Linked DNA regions of Schizosaccharomyces pombe. The main gene of each other region encodes a partner of the protein of the gene in region 3 in a complex. Each region holds a gene or a part of one and is shown on either strand. Other genes may lie near its edges. The genes, in order: rsm19, mrps17, mrp2 and mrps18.

Region 1 (3,460 bases), 2.1 Mb from region 3:
CTTAATGATCAGAATCCTATTTTATTTTTCTAATGAACTATTCAGAGGCTGTGACCGCGGATCCGTCTCTATTTCCCTTTTTGCTAGAGGCTATAGTAAAGCTAGATAAAGGTTGCTCCATTACTTGTAGCATGTAACGTAAACTTGAACCCCATTTAGCTAATTTTTCGTGTAAAGCAACCCATTCGTGCTTACCAAAGACACGATAGCTGCTACGGTGAATGGATAACGTTTTAGTCAACTGAGACATGCGGCCTTCAACAAGTCCAGCACGAATAACATCAATGATCCATAATTCTACTTCATTTTCATCAATCTTCAAACTCTTGGCTACATCACCATAGGATAATGTATTATTGGGAGCCTGGGTAGCTAATGAAGCAATAGTTAAAAGTTTCATCTTACGTGCAATTGCATCTTCATCAAATTTTTGGTGTTGGCAATGAGCATGGTTTTCGGCAACCCAACTTACATAATCGTCGGTCATCCCGCCGGACAAAATACCAAGTAACTGTAAAGTACTTTGTTCAAGCTGCTGAACGGGTGGAAGGGTGACAATATCATCAAAGAAAAAGTACTTAGGGCTGTTAACAGCGCGTTGAACTAATTCGCGAACCGCCTCGTCAGCAGTTGAGTTGTCCATTTTTACGGCTTCCAAAAGGAAAGCAAATGATTGCTCATCATCGTATGATTGAATAGCTTTAGAAACAAAAATATTAAATGCCCGATGGTCCGATACACTGACACCAGCTTCTTTAAGCCAGTCAGGGAAGTATTTCAAATTAGGTGCAAGAGTGCTAAACAAGGAATAACGGGTAGTGAGAGTAACAACACTAGTAAGAATGCTTAAACGTGCGTGTTGACGTTCTTTGACGGCCGTATTAAATAAAATGCTTAAGACACTGAGTATGGCAGGAGTGAGATTGTTGTTTTGATCGGCAATCTGCTCTAAGGCTTGGCAAAATTTAGAAACATGATCTTCGAAAGCAGCAGATTCTTGGATAAGATTAATAAAGACGGCTAAAATAGGCTCGAGTTCTGTTTCGTGTTAGTAATAGCATGGAAGAGAAAATAAGCGAAAACTTGGAAAGCTGCAAACCAAACACATCAGCTCATAGTATACTTTCAGAACTAACAATATAACAAATGCCCTTTAGCACTTATTAAAATAATTCTTTAATTTCCTAGCCTAAAACTATTTTGCATTACCTTTCTCAGGTGCTTGTGCCAACAATGGCAAGCGAGTCAGAAACAGATTAAGAACTTCTTTAACATTTTCAGAAGCCAAATATTCTCGGCAAAGAGCAAGTACATTTTTATCGGTATTAGCCTCAAGATTATCCAAATACATAGCCAATTCTTCCACCTTTTGAAATTTCGTTAGTTGAAAAAAGTTTTACCAAAAATCGCCGAGTCATTAGCGACATACCTGTTCCTCTACGGAAGAGTCAACTACCAAAATAAAATCAGAGCCTTCCATCTCTGTTATTAATACGAATCTAGCAGACGAGAAATGCAAATATTCGCTGTTAGTGGTAGTTGGAGAGTAGGACTTGGCACCTCCACCTCGTTCAATGGTTAAAACGAAGTGGAAGTAACAACACCAGGTTGCTACCTCACATTTATTAACGATTGCTGCATTAGCAATTAACTAGCTTTCTAACATTTCACCTCATGTTTTGGACTAGTGTAGCCAGAGCTCGGTCAGTCTGGAAAGGTAAATGAATATAAATATACTTGTTTTGAAAATAATTTAGAACCTGTTATTCTGACATTATAGGACCCAACGTGGTCGATTTCGGTGTCAACGTTCAGCAATGTATTAAAGGAAACGTTCCTATAAAAACAGCTGTGCGATCTGCAACTATTTTACCTAGAATGGTTGGGTATGATACTCGTATTTAGCAAGTGTGGACGTTAACTAACTAAATTCTAGTGCTCAATTTATGGTTCATAATGGTAAATCATATGCCAATGTAAAAATTACAGAAGATATGATCGGGCATAAATTAGGTGAATTTGCACCTACCAGAAAAGCATTTCATTACAGACAAACTAAAAATCGGTAATTATTTTGGATTCTTGGCGAAAACTGGGCTATATGGCCTATTCAAAACACTTTTCACATGGATTCATAACTACCAAGAATTTCAAGTCTGCCTCAAAATTTCAATTCGTGACTTTAAATGGAGCTACCATATTAGTATTTTGTAGGACATTTCCTGTAAGAAAGCGAATATATAATTCGCCGAATCTTTTCATTACTTTCAGGCTTTTAATGACAGCACTTCTTCCAATGGATGTACTTGCACGTATAAATGTATGTATGAAAAAGTGATATGATGTTGCATAATTTTCTGTCAATGTTTTACAAAAGAATTTTGCATTCCCCTACTTGGATTTTTTATTTTTAAATTTGAAACGCAATGGCTTATGTGTTTAATGTTATTGGTTGTACTTATTTAGTAGTCTGTATAATGAATAATTAACAGCATCGAAAAACCGAATGAACCCGATATCCCAAAAGAAAATGAAAAATTAATAATTGAAAGGCAATACGAAAAAAAGGATCTTTGGAAGTGTCGTTATAACAATTGAATAACTCATTTCTTTTCGTTTTTCCGACCCGTCTTTTTATCAGCTTTGTTATTGCTGATTTTTCTGTCAGATTGTTTAGAAAAGACGGCTTCGCGCTCGTGCTAACGTAAATAGTTAGTAAATTGACTGAAACTTGAAATCAAAATAATTCATGGAAATACTTACAGCCACTTGAAGTTTAGATTTTATTTTATCGTCAAGCTCATAAGTAACTTGATTGAGAATATTTTGAAGGTCATCCTGTAACAGCAATTAGTTAATGAACAATGAATGTGGAAAATGAATAAATAGATGAAGGAATGCCCATCAATTAAAATCAAAAAGTAAAAAAACAAACAAACCAAATCAGATCAAAAATTAGATTACATGACTCAAAAAGCGCAGCAAGTTCACTTAAAACCTTATTTGTCGGATCTGGTGGTAAAGAGGAACGAATGCGGAAGAATAGGGTTCAGGGCCTTGAAAGTTTATAAACAAGATTTGTAGGATTTATATAGAGAGATATTTATCATCGTAACATCTACCACACTGACTTGAGATTTTTGTTGTTTAATGTTTTTGAATATTACTTGTTGAGTAAATGGAAGCATTTTCAACATCTATAATGAAAGAACATGGATGTGAGAATGAATTACCTTAGTTTCAGCAAATATTTTCCCCTTCTTCTTCCCCTTTTTCTGAATCTTAGTTTGGGGATTTTTAGAAGTGTTTAGCTTGGGAAGGTCCAAATCCTCCACGCGAATTTGCTACAAAAAGAAAAAGTTAGAAAAAAGGGTTCGATTTTACCAGTAAAAGTAAACAAAGAAACATTTAAAGAAGAGAAAAGAAACTCCCCTTTTACATGGTTCGTAAATTGTGAAGG
Region 2 (3,056 bases), on a different chromosome or scaffold from region 3:
AAGGTATTCGTGCTTCCATCGCCCGCAATACATATGATGCTGTTATTGGCATTGGCGTTTTAATCAAAGGTTCCACCATGCATTTTGAATATATTTCAGAAGCTGTTGTTCATGGTCTTATGCGCGTTGGCCTTGATTCAGGTGTTCCCGTCATTCTAGGTCTATTAACAGTTTTAAATGAAGAGCAAGCTCTTTATCGTGCAGGTTTGAATGGTGGCCATAACCATGGAAATGATTGGGGATCAGCTGCTGTAGAGATGGGATTGAAAGCTTTGTATTAATTAAGTTGAATCCTTTGCTCATTTTTTTGTTAATAAAATATGCTACTGACTGTTTTGCTCTTCGAAAGGACCTACTGACATGCTAAAGCTTTAGTCATGATCCTTTATACATTGTCGCTTTCTTATGAGCACCGTCTTAGTTGAACAAGTATGTTTTTCATTCAATCGTTTGCAACGTATTTTCATGATTCCCCAGTTTGTTAAGATATACAGCTATGGGTTAATGTATACGATGTTTTAAATTTGCTTAAGACTTAATCCCAACTTATTATGTTTTGTAAGCTTTATTTTGAATATATTACTGTCTATATGCATCTTGTTCAATCACTTGCCCTTTTTACAAAAAAAGATGTTACAGAAGTATTATTGACATAGTTGTAAACAAATTTAAAGGCATTGAATGCTGGGAGCAGGAAACATGGTACTACAAGAGTAGTTTTCTTTTAGAAATGAATGTGATTTGAGACTCTTCTGATGCACAATCTACAATTTGCAACATTACGTAGCCATTGTGAATGTAAAAATTTCCAGTTAAAATCGATATCGGTGTATACAGGTAATTGGCAAGTTAAGAAAGAGCGGTCAATCACCGATTTACAATATTCATGACCACCGCGAAAGACTTATCACAATGGATCAATCGAAATCATTAGGAATCATCAAAAATTAATGGGGATTTTTTATTTACTCTTTCGAAATCTCCGATGCTGGGCTCATACGGTTGGCTGTGCTTAAGATTTTTATGATTTCAAAGCGTTTAGTCGCTGACCGAGGCCTACATGGCTGTATTGTAACTGCATCTCCAACATTACAATTTAAATCATCTTGAACCATATAGTTTTGATATTGGGTGACATACTTTTTCACCACTGGATGGAACTTTTCTTTTGCAACCCGCACTTTCGCTGTTTTTGGCATTGCACGAGAAATCACGATTCCCACATAATTTAGCTTCATTCTTCAGAGTAATTTTAGGATTAAACAAGAAAAGTAAGTAAGTCTAATCCTTTAAATACCCACAATAACTAAGTTATCAATGCGCACCGTTTTAGCAGTAGAGAGTTTTGACATTGCCCTATTTACAAATGTGCAATGAAGCGGCGTCTTTTCCCTTATAATTATTTAACATAAATAAGCTTTCCTTAAGTCAATTAATGATAATATATAAATGTGATAAACAACATAACGAGGATCGGAAAAGTATGTGTATTTTATTTTAAAGTACTTTATGGTAGGGTGACTTTGTAGAGAAGAAGAACGAGGGTTATTGACACTGTGTTTTCGCCATGTTTGACGACCCATCTAAGAGACTGACATATTTTGAATATGCTGTCGGTGTTCTTTTATGTTCATGGCCTGTTATGAAACAGGCTGTTGAAGAAGAATGGGCCGATGTCGATACCGCCGATAAACGAGACTGGATGGCAGGAGTTTTAGTTGATTATATTACAGTTACGAGCGATGTGGAAGCATGGGACGTTGAAGAATTGATTCTTCAAGTCCTGCAGGATGAATTCAATGTTGGTTCAATAGAAGACGACTCACCCTATATCGTAAGTATTCACCAATACTAAATTAGGTAAAGATTTTTTTCAAACAAGAAAGAACGTAACAAGCTTGCTTGAGACTGAAGATTCGTATATATATATTGGCACCGAAAAAATGATTTAAGTTTGAGGACGAAATATTGGAATATTAGTCAAAAGCTCGAGTTTATACACATATTGCGTTCTGTTGTCTATATTAAAAATTTTTTACTTCTATTAGCATTTAAAATAATTATCAAGTGATACGTCTATTAACAGTCTATTTAGTTGGCTCAAGATTTGGTTAATGTGTGGAAAGCTGCTTGCGAAGATAATTATGAACCTATTCGTGAAATCCATGAGCGTCTCGGAAAACAATTGCTTGAAAAGGAGGAAGGAAAGGAAAAAACTAGAGAAGAGTCAAATCCTCCGGTATTGGTAGAAGACGAAACGATTGTTGATGCTGAGGATGGAGGAGCTGCTCAAAATCAGCAGGAAAAGCAGCAGGGACCCATTGTTGATGATGATGGATTCACCGTTGTCCAGAAAAGACGTCGTTAAAGAGGATGTACTATTCTTATATCTTTTGGTATCATTAAATGAGCATTATTGCTGGGAGCAATTGGTTTTATCTTTTTTGTATTTTGGGGGATAATAAAAATTCAAGTTTTTGGTTTGAAAATTGAAAATTGGGATCGAAATAACTCTTATATTTTTTAAGCCTTTGTAATCCGTGTCATAAGAAGATGTAGTTAAAAGTATAGAAGAACGTGATCCGCCAAAATACGAATACGAGTTAAATTGAGCAGCTTTTTCACTTCTCAAATTTTTAATACTTGTTTTTTATGAGATTAGGCTGTAAATAGAGTGTATTTTAGTCATGCAGACGTAAAAAGGCGCAAAATACATTCTTTCATGAATCGAATGGTTGTACATAAATATGTATTATTTTACTAGTCATTGATCCTTTAAAACTCAACTGCAATTCTGGCTTTCGATCCATGTTTTCCTCCTCTTCAGCAGTATTTGGTAGTGCAAAATTTCTAGCAGTTTCGATGATTGCATGGCTTTGGACCGATTCACTCGTAATATCCACTACTCTTTTCTCGTAGAGCGTGCGGATGGATCCTTGGTTGAGAAATGCAACTGCATGCAATTCACGCTGTAGGGAAAAAAGGAAAGCCCGAATATCAAGGTCTTCTTTTGTTTTAAAATGAATTCGAACGTGACACAACAAGTTATGCCTCAA
Region 3 (3,269 bases):
TCAACGGCGGTAAAGGCATTGGGTGATTTTGCTAGTGCTAACATTTCTATGGCCCCCTCTTGTCTTAACACTTTATTGCTGTTACTTAAATCACATAATAGCCTTATCGTGACAGAAGCTGCCTCTTCACTTCGGCTTCTCATTCATAATGATCCTAAAGAAATATATCTGCAGTATTTAGCTGCAACGTATGAAACTTTGGAAGTACCGCGGGCCAAATCCGTTACACTATGGCTTATTTCGGAGCATATACTAATCATACCGCGACTAGTCCCTGATGTGCTACGCATTGCTGTTAAAACTTTTGCTGATGAGACATTAGAAGTGAAGTATCAAATTCTCGAATTATCGGTAAGACTATATGTTTTGTCTCATTCTGAAGAGAAGCAAAACGATTTAGAGTCAAGAGATGATGTCGTGTCACTACTTTTTAATTATGTTTTATCTTTGATACACTTTGACATGAGTTACGATTTACGAGATAGAGCTAGGTTTTACAAAGAACTAGCTAGTACACCGAGTTCTGAATTTACTAGGCGCATCGTATTGGAAAGCAAGGGGAATAGTCAAAAAGAAATTATTGCTTCTCGGGACTACTGCATTGGTACCGCTAGTTTATGTTTGAATGAAGACGTGATGGGATATGAGCCAATCCCTAACTGGGCTGATGTCTCTGATTTACCGCCTGATTCTGTCCGAGAAGGTATCAAGGATGTTTTGCCAATAAACCCTCATACGGGAAATATTTATTCAAACAATTCACCGGGTGTGAAAGCATTATCTTCTGATAACTTTAAACGTGATTTTGGAGATACTAACGCAATTAACCGTCCAAAATTTGTTGGCCAGCAAACGCTTGAAGAATTTTATGCTAGTGAAACTTCTGAAAGTTCTGAAGGAGAATATGAAACATCAACCAGTGAAAGTGAAGATGAAGAAACGGATGATACTTCTCAAGAGGAAGACAACGAAAAAAATAGTACACCTGATGAAGATACAGAGAACAACAATACCAGTTCTATATCTACTAAAAGTATAATGGATAGGCCGCTCACAGAACCTGAACCTAACTATTGGCAATCATAAACAATTGATAATGTAAATATTCAGTTTTGGAATGTAATCATGCAAATAATTGTACTTCATTTAAACGGCGAATAAATATTAGCTAATAATAAACATGATGGATTCACGGAAGATAATTAAAGCTTTTTATTTCAATAACGCTTATCATGGATTGAAATACAAACAACGATTATTACCATGATGCCTTGCTGAATGGATTAGTGACAAAAGTAAAAATGCTTATTCTTACCGAACTCCGGGTAATTTATTAGCTAGTGCTTTAAGTCGAAAAGGAAACTGAAATAGTCAGCATCAAAAATGCATTTATATGACATTATAATCGTACCCTTGCAAGTCCAAACGCACGAAATACACCTCGGCCTCTACCTGTCTCAATACAGCGATTTTTTATTTTTGTAGGATGTGCATTAGTCGGTAAAGCCTCAATCCGCTTTTTGGCTTCTAAACGCACCCGAAGAGGTAGCTCAGGATTTCTATATATATAGAGATTGCTTTGACGTTCAACTTCGTGTTCAGCAAAAAGTCTCCTACATAATAAATCACGAAATGCTTTATGCTTCAGGTGGCCCAAAGCCCTCATATTTTTTATTTCTGGTTTAGAAGGCTTCTCTGTTGTGTTCAAATTGTGAGTGTATTCTCAGTAGATGAAATAGTCAAAATAAATTACGAACTGCGCTAGCGATCTGTATAATTATAGTTATTTTAATAACTATAAACAATGTGAATAAGAGAAACAAAGTAAATTAGATAATTTCTACCAAATAGTGTCACATTGTTTTTATATTAAGTATTTTTAATCGTAACCCGTTCTTTATATAAATATGGTCTTGCGTTTATATTAATTGCTTATTAACTTAATATATATAGTGGAATAAAAAATAATAAATACCGTAATTATCACTTTGAAGCACTGAGGAAATATTGAACATTTACAACATTAAATAGGAGTGCTTCAAATAATATAAATTTCATATGTATGCAGTAAAAGAATCTGCATAAGATTTTACATGGATGAAGCTTTTTGATGAGCGATTTCATGACTTTAACTTTGGAGCTGCAAAGTTGGATTCCAAAGCATGAACATAGATATTACCAGCGGCTTCTTCTTGAGCACAAGTGGCAATTGCAAGCATGCTTCCGTCAACATTAAAAGAAATAGATGATATATTGATCTTTGAAGGATTTAACACTCTTAATCGTTTTCGGACTTGTATATCCCAAAACGCAACAACGCCATCTCCCCCAGCAGTTGCCAATGTTTGATGAATCGGATGAAATTTTAGGTCGTTAACTGGATAAACAATATCGTAGTCCTTTTGTATCTGCCGATGGCATTTAAAGGTAAAATTTTTGCTTTGCGCTTCCTGAGACGGGTTAATATATTCAACAGATGTCCTTCCCTCAATGCTGGAAGAAACGAATCCCTCAAAATTTTGGTTACAGCAAACACTTCGAGTCATATACTTAAAACTAGAAGGACGTCGCTGAAATGGAAGTTTTAAATTTCGAATATCGTACACCAAATTTTCTCTTTCTGAACAGCCTAGAACCAATATATTATCTCTCGAGCTACTTGCAAAAATTTTTTTTCCTATATCCTGTCCCTCGACAGGTTGCTTTACGCGAACATCCCAAACACGAAATGATTTGTCCCAAGACCCACTAATGAAACAGTCTAAAATGTTAATAGAATAGCTGGCTAATAAAATATATATCTTACTTTCCAAACGCAACTTAGAAATGCACGATACCCCCTTACCGTGGTTTCCTAAAAACTCATGGTTTCGCGTATTAAGATCGAGGGTAGTAACTGTCCCATCTAAATTTCCTACTAAAGCAGTTTTTTCATCTGTATATTCTAAAGAAAGAATAGGACTTGATAAATCGTATTTCCCTAAAAGTTCGGGATTTTCCGAGATTTGATAATGCAGTAAGCTACCATCCCAGCACCCTGCAATTAGTTCGTTTTTGACAGAGGGTGAAAATATTACACTTGAAATCCCGTCTTTTGAATTTTTTAGTAATGTTTTTGAGAAATTCATGGCAGACTGACAGATGACATGAAAAAGGAGTTTGGCGAGGTATAGGCCTTTAAATGTTGCTTCAAAAGGACAACGTCGAAGTTCGATGGTAATTGACCGAATTTTACGAAGATGAATTTCCAACGATGCCGATTATATTAG
Region 4 (2,990 bases), 2.5 Mb from region 3:
TAATGATTTATGTGTTATATCCACATCTTCACTGCCATCTGTACTTCAAAAAACAAGTTTTATGTACATATCTGATATTTATGTAAACGAAGATGACATTGTCTGTTTCCAAGGCTCACTATGGACACAAATTGACAAAAATGCACTCGATTATAATGACAGCGCTGACAATATTGATGAACATAAGGATGACTTAAAAGAATTACCAAGAAGATTACAAATGGTATCAAAACTATCAAACACATATTTTCGTTGCCTGCATGATAAATCTGTCGAGTACGTCTGCCCATTCGCAGATGTTTTGGGAAGATGGTATGAGCCTTGGTTCGTAAAAGGAGATTTAAATTACACTTCAGAAGTGAAAGAACGCACATCCAGTCGATTATCAGCAGTAGGCTCTGAAAATTGGGTCGATGACGATTTTTATGAATATTTACTGTCTGAAATTGATATGGTGTCAGCAGTTGTAATGTAATAAGTATGGCAGATAAAATTAGATATAGAAGTGTCTACTTATTGATCAGTGACGGTCATTATTTATAATGTAAATAATATGGGAATAATAATGTCTTTTGCATTTCATAAATTACAGAGAAAGATAGGTAAAAACTATTTGTGTTGAATTAGAGATGGGATATAGTTTTTTTTAAGAAATCATGTTGCACTATCACACCGGTATTAATAAATCATTTCTAAGTTCAGAAGGTCAAATACAACGGTGGAAAAGCACCAACAATGTTGGGCAGCAGATTAACTGCACAGGAAGATTACGTAAACGAAGAAAACAGAAAAGTAATATAAACATACTTCATATGCGTCGCTCCCTTCTACCTCTCGGTCCTCCAAATTTAATAGGTGTTCGATCCATAACCTTTACAATTTTGTCTCGAATTACGGCACCTTCTTGCCCTAATAAACAATTTTGTACTGCTTCCCTGGCCTGACTAAAACCATGAAATATAACATGCAAATTTTCAATACCAAGGCGCTTTACTTGGATTTGTTCCAGCACCTTGGAGCAAATGGTATAAGCAGCATCGTAGCCACGGCGCTTTCCTTTACGAAAACCACAGGTTCCTCCAGAGGCCCTAAAAATAATTTTTCTTTCAGGAGAACAAAGTGTAATGTGAGTGTTGTTCTTCAAACATTTGGCATGAAGGTAAAATGGCATTGGAATGGTATCCGTACCTTGCATAATCGGATTTGGCTCCTCCGTCCTTTTTGAAAAAGCTTTTGGAGTGATTGTGGATTCTAAAAGAGAAGAGAGTTCCTTTTTGGGCGCATTCCGCCTAGGACTCTGGCTCCAAAATCTTCGTAGTCCAACTTTTGTTAAATTAAGCATTAGATATTTGATGAAAAATAGCTTGCTAAGAACCGATTTGTAAACCAAAAATAAAATCAAAGAACTAAAAAATATGGATGAAAATGTAAAGGAAATGAAAAATGACAAATTGTAAGTAACCGAGTGCTTCAATACCATAATTTCTATACCAGGTAACTTATGTTACTCAACCTGTGGTAGTGGTATGAACGTGTAAATATTAACCTAAAACACTCTTCTCGTTTTAAAGAAAAAATAAAGAAATAAAAAATTAAAAATCTTACTTTGGTGGCTGCCTTAAAAGTTTTTCAAACGGATCATTTGGGATACCCAACGACTGTAATTTAAACGAAGATTGGTGAATTGAAAACACAAATATAACCCATCTTTTGAACAGTGAAGATTTTGCAATGATACCAAATGAGAAGCTAAAACTATTAGGTTTATTATCAATTTCTTTTTTTCTTCAATGGTATTTAGCAAACACTTGGATTGCTGAATTCCTTTACAGGCGAATCGAAGTATCGACGCCTGTATCCGGATTTTTACGTGTTCGTGAAGGACTTTACTTGTATGAAAACGGACTAGACCCCTATTCTGGTGGTGTTTTCTATCAGTCTCCACTTCTACTGATCTTAAATTATTGTTGTGAGTTGCTTGGAGGAATATCTGTCACCAGATTTGTTTATACTAGCATTTCTACTATGGGAGGTCTCTTTGTGTATTTAATTGCAAAACAAGCTCGTGTTTTAGACCCAAATCAAGTACTATCTACTTGTTCACCATTATGGATTTCCGTCATGTAAGTTACGCATATGGCTTGCGACAAAAAAAGTGAGACATTCTTCAAAAAAATGAAAAGCATTGTATCGTTGGTTTACAAAATTGTTAACGATGACTGTTCAAAGATTGAACTGCGTTGATTACACAGATTTCGTAGTCGATATTGAAAATGTGTACTTCTGTGATATATTTGTGTCGCAAACAAGTATCCTTAACTCAAAATTTACTAACAAAATATTACTTTAGTTATCTGCTTAACCCATTAACATTTCTTCCAGGAATTGCTTGCTCCGCAGACATGATACTTAATTTCACCACTCTAATGACCATTTATTTCGCCTCTTGCGGATCCTATGCAATTTATGCATGCTGTATGGCATTGACTGTATTCATTAATCCTAACGCTTTACTGTTATTTTTCCCCTCCTATCTTATTTTAAGAAAATGCAATTCATCCATTAAATTTCGTCAGATATTCGTTGTTTTTCTTTTTTATCTTGCAGGTCTGATAATAACTTCAGGCTTCTTTCTGAACTCGTTATCTTTTTTGAAAATTCCATTTAGGGTATACTTGGACTCTCATGATCTAACTCCGAATTTGGGTCTCTGGTGGTATTTTTTTACAGAAATGTTCAATGAATTTCGCACATTCTTCCTTTTTGTATTTGCCATTTTACCATTGATGTTTGTTCTCCCTGTTTCGATCCGTCTTTATTATCTGCCCTTGCCTATTACTATTGCTCTTATTGGCCTGCATTCTTTATTCAAAGCTTACCCAAGTATTTGTGATCTTTCAATATTTTTATCTCTCCTCCCAATTTTTAATAAAGTCCAAGACCGAATGCGATATAGCTTGCTTACAAATAATGCTATTGTGTTTGCGCTT

Evidence for each region.
Region 1: mrp2 (region 3) and rsm19 share a complex: the UniProt entries of both Schizosaccharomyces pombe proteins name them as parts of the mitochondrial small ribosomal subunit.
Region 2: mrp2 (region 3) and mrps17 share a complex: the UniProt entries of both Schizosaccharomyces pombe proteins name them as parts of the mitochondrial small ribosomal subunit.
Region 4: mrp2 (region 3) and mrps18 share a complex: the UniProt entries of both Schizosaccharomyces pombe proteins name them as parts of the mitochondrial small ribosomal subunit.

Annotation. Positions count from the first base shown.
Region 1 is NC_003424.3:384,364-387,823, reverse strand, and holds rsm19 (mitochondrial 37S ribosomal protein uS19m), read left to right. Parts: upstream 1-1,653; 5' UTR 1,654-1,674; coding exon 1,675-1,717; exon of another isoform or gene 1,718-1,780; coding exon 1,781-1,886; exon of another isoform or gene 1,887-1,936; coding exon 1,937-2,069; 3' UTR 2,070-2,603; coding exon of another isoform or gene 2,604-2,699; 3' UTR 2,700-2,763; coding exon of another isoform or gene 2,764-2,838; 3' UTR 2,839-2,938; downstream 2,939-3,460. Other genes in the region: tif313 (translation initiation factor eIF3m), read right to left, coding at 38-1,038, 1,210-1,366, 1,430-1,480; pre-ribosomal protein Loc1, read right to left, coding at 2,604-2,699, 2,764-2,838, 3,234-3,344. UniProt on the Schizosaccharomyces pombe protein: Component of the mitochondrial ribosome (mitoribosome), a dedicated translation machinery responsible for the synthesis of mitochondrial genome-encoded proteins, including at least some of the essential transmembrane subunits of the mitochondrial respiratory chain.
Region 2 is NC_003423.3:1,165,967-1,169,022, forward strand, and holds mrps17 (mitochondrial 37S ribosomal protein uS17m), read right to left. Parts: upstream 1,332-3,056; 5' UTR 1,239-1,331; coding exon 966-1,238; 3' UTR 554-965; downstream 1-553. Other genes in the region: rib4 (6,7-dimethyl-8-ribityllumazine synthase), read left to right, coding at 1-281; rRNA processing protein Tsr2, read left to right, coding at 1,568-1,834, 2,096-2,368; DNA recombination protein Saw1, read right to left, coding at 2,721-3,056. UniProt on the Schizosaccharomyces pombe protein: Component of the mitochondrial ribosome (mitoribosome), a dedicated translation machinery responsible for the synthesis of mitochondrial genome-encoded proteins, including at least some of the essential transmembrane subunits of the mitochondrial respiratory chain.
Region 3 is NC_003424.3:2,504,179-2,507,447, forward strand, and holds mrp2 (mitochondrial 37S ribosomal protein uS14m), read right to left. Parts: upstream 1,707-3,269; 5' UTR 1,667-1,706; coding exon 1,412-1,666; exon of another isoform or gene 1,363-1,411; coding exon 1,316-1,362; exon of another isoform or gene 1,275-1,315; coding exon 1,259-1,274; 3' UTR 1,087-1,258; downstream 1-1,086. Other genes in the region: AP-3 adaptor complex subunit Apl6, read left to right, coding at 1-1,086; mitotic spindle checkpoint WD repeat protein Bub3, read right to left, coding at 2,121-2,761, 2,807-3,128. UniProt on the Schizosaccharomyces pombe protein: Component of the mitochondrial ribosome (mitoribosome), a dedicated translation machinery responsible for the synthesis of mitochondrial genome-encoded proteins, including at least some of the essential transmembrane subunits of the mitochondrial respiratory chain.
Region 4 is NC_003424.3:4,966,415-4,969,404, forward strand, and holds mrps18 (putative mitochondrial ribosomal protein subunit S18), read right to left. Parts: upstream 1,449-2,990; 5' UTR 1,343-1,448; coding exon 809-1,342; 3' UTR 576-808; downstream 1-575. Other genes in the region: SHREC complex subunit Clr2, read left to right, coding at 1-475; gab1 (Pig-U family GPI transamidase subunit), read left to right, coding at 1,732-2,123, 2,351-2,990. UniProt on the Schizosaccharomyces pombe protein: Component of the mitochondrial ribosome (mitoribosome), a dedicated translation machinery responsible for the synthesis of mitochondrial genome-encoded proteins, including at least some of the essential transmembrane subunits of the mitochondrial respiratory chain.